2 linked regions of the Neurospora crassa OR74A genome follow. The protein of the gene in region 2 purifies or fractionates together with the protein of the main gene of each other region. This does not show direct contact. Links are inferred from orthologs where the notes say so. Each region holds a gene or a part of one and is shown on either strand. Other genes may lie near its edges.

Evidence for each region.
Region 1: the proteins of NCU09552 (region 2) and NCU04327 purify together in Saccharomyces cerevisiae (affinity purification with western blotting, with the first as the bait; 3 studies listed by BioGRID). This does not show direct contact. The link is inferred for Neurospora crassa OR74A from reciprocal best matches to the Saccharomyces cerevisiae genes TOF1 and MCM2.

Annotation. Positions count from the first base shown.
Region 1 is NC_026505.1:5,630,912-5,634,887, forward strand, and holds the start of NCU04327 (DNA replication licensing factor mcm2), read right to left. Parts: upstream 2,801-3,976; 5' UTR 2,649-2,800; coding exon 2,644-2,648; intron 2,561-2,643; coding exon 190-2,560; intron 48-189; coding exon 1-47. Other genes in the region: NCU04328 (metaphase-anaphase transition protein), read left to right, coding at 3,464-3,597, 3,652-3,706, 3,766-3,976. UniProt on the Saccharomyces cerevisiae protein: Acts as a component of the MCM2-7 complex (MCM complex) which is the putative replicative helicase essential for 'once per cell cycle' DNA replication initiation and elongation in eukaryotic cells.
Region 2 is NC_026505.1:4,564,152-4,568,135, reverse strand, and holds the start of NCU09552 (topoisomerase 1-associated factor 1), read left to right. Parts: upstream 1-1,184; 5' UTR 1,185-1,353; coding exon 1,354-1,428; intron 1,429-1,488; coding exon 1,489-3,984. Other genes in the region: NCU09553 (3-hydroxybutyryl CoA dehydrogenase), read right to left, coding at 1-374, 450-566. UniProt on the Saccharomyces cerevisiae protein: Forms a fork protection complex (FPC) with CSM3 and which is required for chromosome segregation during meiosis and DNA damage repair. FPC coordinates leading and lagging strand synthesis and moves with the replication fork.

The sequences.
Region 1 (3,976 bases), about 1.1 Mb from region 2:
CGGCAGAAGGCTTCGGAGATGCGGATGATGGCTTCCAAGTGACGGACCTAAGGTGGTGGTGGGTGAGGTTAGCAGTTGTTATTGTGTTGTATTTTGTGACGGAGGAAGAAAGAAAAAAAAAAAAAAAAAAAAAAAAAAAAAAAAAAAAAAAAAAAAAAAAAAGGAAAAAGGAAAGAGGGAAGAACTTACAGTAATAGGATAAGCCCCCGTCGCCAAACTCTCCCTTCTCATATCCGCAAACAGCCTCGCCACCTTATCCTCATCCATGTGATACAACTTTGGCTGGCACCGCTCTCGGGCATAAAGGATATACTTCCTCAACAGCTCTTGTGGGATTTCGCCCTCTTTTTTACGGCCGTGTTCACCAGTTTGTTGGGTTTCCGCAGCAGCTTGGGTATCGTGTTCAACCTCCATGGAGTCACCACCGCTAGCGTCCTGCGTGTTGTTGTTCATCAACGGATGACTCCTCGAATGCGACCCGACAATGAAGCGCGCCAGCCGCTCATCTTCTTCAGGCTCGACTGTGTCGCGCACGACGCAAAGGATGTCGAAACGAGACAGAATCGGCTCGGTAAGCTCCACGTTGGCAGAAAAGGGAATGGTAGAGTTGTACCGCCCGCCAATAGGGTTAGCAGCGGCGATGATTCCGCACCGGGCTTGCAGGGTCGTGACGATACCGGCTTTGGAGATAGAGATGGTCTGCTGCTCCATGGCTTCGTGGATGGACGTGCGGTCCTGGTCGTTCATCTTGTCGAACTCGTCGATCAGGCAGGTGCCCTTGTCGGCGAGGACGAGGGCGCCGCCCTCGAGAGTCCATTCGGACGTGAGCGGGTCGCGCCGGACGGAAGCCGTCAGACCGACGGCGGAAGCACCCTGGCCGGTGGCGAAGACGGCGCGGTGGGCCGTCTTTTCGGCGTACTTGAGTACTTGTGATTTGGCGGTACCGGGGTCGCCGAGGAGCAGCACGTTGATGTCACCGCGGATGTGGTGGGCGCCGACTTGCTTGGCGACGCCGCCGAAGAGGGAGAGGGCGACGGCGGTCTTGATGTCGGTGTGTCCGTAGATGGAAGGGGCGACGGAGTTGATGATCTTGTCGACAATGTGCGGGTCGCGCGAGAGACGGCGAATCTCGTGCTCGTCTTCCTCGGTCATGCGGAAGCCGGCGAGCTGGTCGTGGGATTTGACAATGTTGTTGGCTTCGAGGATGGTGGCGAAGACGGGGAAGCCGTTGCGGTTGTTGAGCTGCGCGTCGTAGTTGTTGCGGTAGATGCCCGTTACTTCGATCTCCTCGCCCGGCTTGGCCTTGTCGATCAGGTCCCAGAGGAGAATGACCTCGCGGTGACGGGGCAGACGACCGGCGGGAACGGTGCCGGGGGATTCTTGGAGGGTGAGCTTTTGGTAGTTGCGGTAGACGGTCTTCTCGGAGTTAAGGGTGAAGGGGCCACGAGACTGGCAGGACTGGCAGTAAGAGATCTTGACTTCGACGTTGGACTCTTGCTGGAAGGGACCGAGAGTGACGCCGCACTTGGTGCAGTCGAACTTGACATACTTGAGCTGGGGGAAGACACCGGTGCGGCGGGTGACGACACCGCTCACGCGCACAAGACAGTTGAGGTGCGACTGGCGGAGCTGACGGAGGGTATAATGGATAGGAAGGTCGAAGATACGGACGTGGATCTCGGCGTGAATGCGCTCGTAGTCGGGGTAATGGAGAAGGACGACTTCCATGGCAACCTCGTCGAAGAGCTTGAGCATCTCGGTTGGCGCATTGGCGAGGAAGTATGCGAGAATGGCCTTGGCTGTAGCGAGGTGCTCGTAGGAGACCTCGAGAGACTCGGCGTTGATCTCACCAAGAGTACGGATGCGGTTGCCGTAGACGGACGAACCGCTCTCGTCGGTGTATTCTGTGAGGAAAGCCTTGAACTCTCTGCGGATGGTCTTTTGTACAGCCGGGACTGAGATCCATTCGCTCAAAGTGGCAGCCTTGACATCCATCAGGGCCTCGAGGGGAAGTTCCGAGTCCATAATGTCGCCATCCATATCGACATCGGGGTCTTCATTGTAGCGGATTCTTCGGCGGCGTTCCAGGTTGGTAAGGTCGATATCACCATCGTCGTCATCACCAGGAAGATACGTGGTGCCCATTCCCATCCTCACTTGACGGTCTCTCTGGGCCAACTTGGCTTCAAGACGGCGCCTTGCGGCGGGGTCGAGGGCCTCATACTCGTCATCGTCGATGTCAATTCCTTCGTAGGCGTCGTTTTCGTCTCGTTCCCTATAATCGCGCTCGAAGCCTTCGCGGAACAAATCTACATCGTCTTCGGCCAACTCGTCGAGGTCGTCAATGTCGTCTTCGATTTCAGCGGCGACGTCTTCCTCGATGTCGTCGTCCTCATCTGCGCCATGGGCAACTGGGAAGGCGGGAGGAGAAGAGGGCATGACAGGGCTCGAAGCGCGGGGAAGCGAGGAAGCACCATCGTGATCGTTACGCGCACGCTTGCGAGTGGCCCTGGGAACGGCGCCACGGTTGGCAGAGGACGGGTTGTCGCGAAGCGGGGAACTGGTATTGGAGAGTTTCCGTTAATTCACTGTTTACTTGCGAAGAGAAGCCGTGACAGACGAAAGAGCAAGAGGCACACATACCTCATGATTGCGACTTGGCTGAGGGTATCTCAGAGGACTGTAGCCAGCTACAGATGGAAGAAACAAGAGAGTGGAGGATGCTGGCCTAGTTGTTACTATGGAGAATGAATGCCAGCCAGAAAGAGGATATGTTGCGGGGTGAGACAGAGAGAGAGAAGGGGGGGGGGGGGGGGAGGGGAATGGAGACAAACAGCGTCGAGGAACCACTGAATGAATGTTGCCCTTCGTTGCGGCGACCTTGTCCCTGCTTTTTTCTCGCGTTGCAGTCCAGGGAAGACGCGCCAGACGTGATGCGCTAAGCCGGATAAGGGCGGTCGCGTTAAGTGGTTGCTGAGGTTTAATGGGCTTGGCAATGCGTACCGGACCCACTTGGTGCTGCTCTTACACGCCAATTCGACTCGTCGAGATTCCCAAAAAGTCACAAAAGCTCAAAGTCCAGTGAACAATGACGAGCAAAGCATGAGCTATAAGGTGCTACATACTACAGGGCCATGTTATTGATCGGATCACGTTCAAATAGGTTTCCTTGAACCCAATTCCAATCTGTGCTGCTTGGACATATAGACCACAGTGCCTTACACCAAACCAAGGGTACATTGCAAGCTCGGTCCTTCTCCCCACGCTTCCACCAACGCGCCCTCCTCCTCCTCCTCCCCCTCCTCCTCCTCCTCTTCGCGCCCCAGCAATTGTTTTTTGTTTTAAAGACTTCCGGACAGAACCCATCTTTCGTGATCCAGCACCATCTCGAGGCATTTGTCTTATCAACAATTTTGATAGACCACCGACCATCCAAGATTGACCGTGAAAGCATCCATCACCCATGGACCCTCAACCGGCGCAACAGCCCGCCGAGGCCACTCCAGATGGCCATGGAGCTCCAGCACCAGTCGCGCTCACCAAGACTCGTACTGAAAGCTTCTCCGCCAAGTCAGAAAACTCTCAGACTGCCGCAGAGTATGTTGTCATATATTGGACTTACCACATGACAAAGTACTAACCATGGTCTAGCTTCATCCGCGACCAAATGCAACTAGAGGCCGACGCTCGCGAAGCTCTTCCATACGTGCGTGTCCCTTGTCTTCTCTGCCCTTTTCCTTAAAGTCAATCCTAACCTCCCACCAGAGCATCGAAACCTGCACCAAGCCCCTCGGCCCCCTCCGCCAGGCCGTCTTCTCCTGCCTGACCTGCAACCCACCACCCGCCGACCCGAAAGCGCCCTACAATGCGGCCGGCATCTGCTACTCCTGCTCCGTCCAGTGTCACGGCGAGCACACTCTCGTCGAGATCTTTGCCAAGCGCAACTTCACCTGCGACTGCGGTACCACACGCTTCC
Region 2 (3,984 bases):
GAGGTGTCGTTGGGGTCCTTGGTGGTTGAGGCGGCGATGCGCGTGATGGAGATGGAAGAGGTGTTGGTGGCTAAGATGGCGTGCTTAGGGCAGATCTCGGCCAGCTTGGAGAAGATGTCGAACTTGAGCTTGGGAATCTCAGGCACAGCTTCAATCACAAAATCGACGCTGTCCAGGTCCTCGAGGATGGTGGTGGGCTGGAGGAGCGCGCGGGCGGCGTCCGCCTCATCCTGAGTGATGCGTTGCTTGGCCACATCCTTGCTGAGGAGCTTGTCGGCGAATGCAAGGCCCTTGTCTAGAGACGTTTCAGAGGCATCCACAAGGGTGACGGGGACTCTGGCCTTGGTGGCGGCGACGAGGGCGATGCCCAGGCCCTAAAGGAGAAGGAGGACAAGTCAGCCGTTGCCGTTGTTGAAGACATGGGCATGAATGATATGGGCCGGACTCACCATCTGGCCGGCGCCAACGACACCGAGCCTCTTGACCTCGGCAGCGTTGCGGGCGCATGTCGAGCTGAAGGCGCGAGCGCCCATGGGCAGCTTCTGGACGAGGGTTCTAGCAAGCATTTTGCGAGATCGTCACGGCGAAAGTAAACAAAGCAGACACTGTGACTGAGAGAGACTGAAAGGAAAGGGACAGAAAAATCGGAAGACTACACCTAGGTAGGCAACCAGGGCACCTCTAGAGAATGCGAATGCGACGATGTGAAGTTGTCGGATTCGGTTAACCTCGGCCGTCCTCGTCTCCAACTCGACGTCACAAGCCCGACCCGGGCCACGGGGGGGACATAACATACTGCCGTACAGGAGCTACGGGCGGCTCTAGCCTTTTCTTAGGCGGGGAAAATGGGGTCGGTTTTAGCGCGTATGGAGTACTATGTACGCTACCTAGAGGTACAAGCATGTCGTTCAGGGGGGGCAATTGCGGGCATGATTCCCGCGCCAACTCAAGATCCTCGGCTGTCGTTGATTGCCCGTCCACAGGGGTAACTCCGCAGCTCTCCACGAGGTCGAAATCGGGGTGCACAGGTACTGCTGCAGAGGTATCTCTAGTAGGTAGCTAGGTACATTAGGTACCTACTTACCCAGGTATCTTAAAACAGTCCGACAAAACGCTTGGGGAGATAAGCAGGCCAAGACCAAGATACCACCAATTTCCATTAAAAAGTACGACACGGTCGGCGCGTCTCCCACCACCACAAACGCGTGTCCCGTCCCGACAAAGTGCGCCCGACCAATGCCACCATCCATGCGATAACAAAACGACCTCCAAGACAAGCTGAGAGTTGGGGAGAGTCTGTCTAGTACTCGTATGACTCCGTTCTGGTCTTGGACGCCGTGATTTCTGCGCAAAATGGAGGCCGCAGACATCAACGACGATGTCGTCCATCCGGAAGTGCGGGCGCACATCACCAACCTGGTTTCTGCGGTATGTCCACTTCTGGACTCGTTATATACACGGATGTACTGACTCTGGCGACCCGAATAGCTCGGTGGTTACAGCGCGGACGATGATGGAAGCTACAAGCTCGGTGACGAAGCGCTAGACGTCTTGCGCGACCTGAAGAAATGGATCCGATTCTACGATGAAAAGACCAATCGCATGGACGTCGCCAGATGTCTGGCTGAAGCGAACCTCGTCGGCGGCGATCTGCTCCAGATCCTGACATTATGGCCTCAAAGCGAAACCGACAGCAAGTACAAGGCCCGTATTGCTCTGGCGTGTTTCGAGGTCATGGTGCCCCTTACTTGGCCCATAGAGAAGGAGCGCGCCGAAATGACCATCAACCACCATCGTCACATGCCCGTTCTGCAGCTTGCCCAGCTTGGCTACAAGCGCGCCATCATAAACTTCGATGCGATACCCATCCTCAACACCGCCGTCAGGGTAGCCCTTCCCTCCATGGCCATGCCTATCGGCGAGCGGACACCCCGTGACCAGGCCATCATCAAGCTCATTCTCTTCTTTTTGAGGAACGTTGCCATGATCGCACCCCCGCAAGGTGTCAAATGCGAAGGCGACGAGACACAGGTATCCAGGTCGGCAACCATTGATGCCTTTTCGTATCAAGACATATTTCTCACTCTGCTGACCCTTGCCTCCAACATGGGCGAGGACTTCCGCACCGAAGATGTAGTTATCATGGAAATCATCTTTCATCTTGTAAAAAGAGTTGACCCCAGCTCGCTCTTCGTCAGTGAAAAGCAACTCAACAAAGCCAAGGGGCAAGAGCTGGCATCGGAGATGCGCAAGGAGGCTGCTATGCTAAAATCCTACAACAAAACCACCACCACTCGGCACAGTCGATTTGGGACCATGATCTGGGTGAAACGAGCAGATGGCAAGATGGTGACGGTATCTGGCCAAGAGGCTCTTTTGGACGCAAAAACGCGAGAGAGGAAGATGGATAACTCCAAAACATTCAGACCGCCAAGAAGAGCGAGGAAACCCGAGATGGAGCCCAAGGACCTTGGCCCTCCGGTGACGCTAGATGAAAGAGCTCGTCAGCAGCTGCGATCATTCGTCCAAGACTTCCTCGACTCCGGTTTCAACCCCTTGTTTCTGCACGTGAGGCAATCGATCGATCGGGAGGCATTGCATGCATTGAACCAGCATAAGAGCCAGTTCTTTTACCTTGTCGCCTGGTTCCTCGAAGCCGAGCGGATGCGGAGAAAGGCCAAGAGGGACGAGTCGAAGTCGACGTCCGCAGCCGGAGAGGAGGTGAACAGTTTTAACCTCGTTGCTGCTGTGCTCCAACAGGAAATGTTCGCTTCCATGAATCGTGCGCTTGACCGGTCCTATAGTGATAAGGATTGGCAACTGCTCACGTCCGTCATGCGCTGTTACACCCAGATCTTCCTCACAGTCCAGGAGATGTCAGAGTCTCCCAACGAGGAAGACCAGGAGATTGCCGAAAACACCCTGAGCCGTCTCTTTTACGAGGAGACAACCCACGACCTTATCGCGAATATTGCTCGAACATACAAGGATCAAGGCTTCGAATATCTTGATGCCGCGACCGAGCTTGTCCACACTTTCCTCCGCATTTTAGAAGGTTACTCTAAGCAAAATGTCGATTTGCAGGTGCGCTCACGGAAGCGAGCTCGCCGAAAGAAGAAGGCTGCCAAAGCTGCTGCTGCTGTTGCTGCAGCTAGAGCCGCCGGTGAGGAAGCAGAAGACGTTGGCGTTCCCGAGGACAATGATGCCGATGATTCTGGGGACGATGAGCAACATGCAGAGCGGGTCACTCAGGAGCGCAAGTTCGAGTTTGGGAAATTCGCCATTCGATTCGCTCCCCAGGGTGTTGTCGACACATTTGTCGCCTTCACCAAATTCTACCGGGATTTGAACGACGCACAGCTGAAGCGCGCTCATCGCTACTTCTACCGCGTTGCCTTCAAACTCGAGCTGAGCATCATGCTATTCCGACTAGACATCATCAATCTCTTTTACAACATGGTCCAAGGTCCCGAGCCCCTCGACAAAAGCTCGCCGATGTTCAAGGAATGGGAGGAGCTCTCCAAGCAGATCATTCGGAAATGTGTCAAAAAGCTTCAAGAGCGGCCTGCGTTGTTCACCGAGTTGCTCTTTTCCAAGATTGGCAGCACGACGCACTTCCTTGAGCACGGCTATGAGAAGCCTGTCACCACAACTACGCCACGACCTGGTGCCGAGCTGGAGTTCAAGCGAGCCACAGAGCGCGACGAGCAGATTGGCATTGCGGTCAGCGTACTCATCGACAAACAGCAAGTCGAGCATCTGCAGTGGCTCAAGGATCAGCTGACAAGTGCAATGAGTGAGCGGCAAGCATGGGAGAACGTAGACAAGGCCATGGCAGCCACTACCGAGGGGGCGGCTGATGGTGAAGCTGCCGACGAGAGATCCAACAAATCAGCACCACCACATATCACGATCCGCCCTGATACCGAGGCTCGCCGCACAGCCATGTTCAAGAACCCGCACCTCCGTCTTCTCATGCGTCTA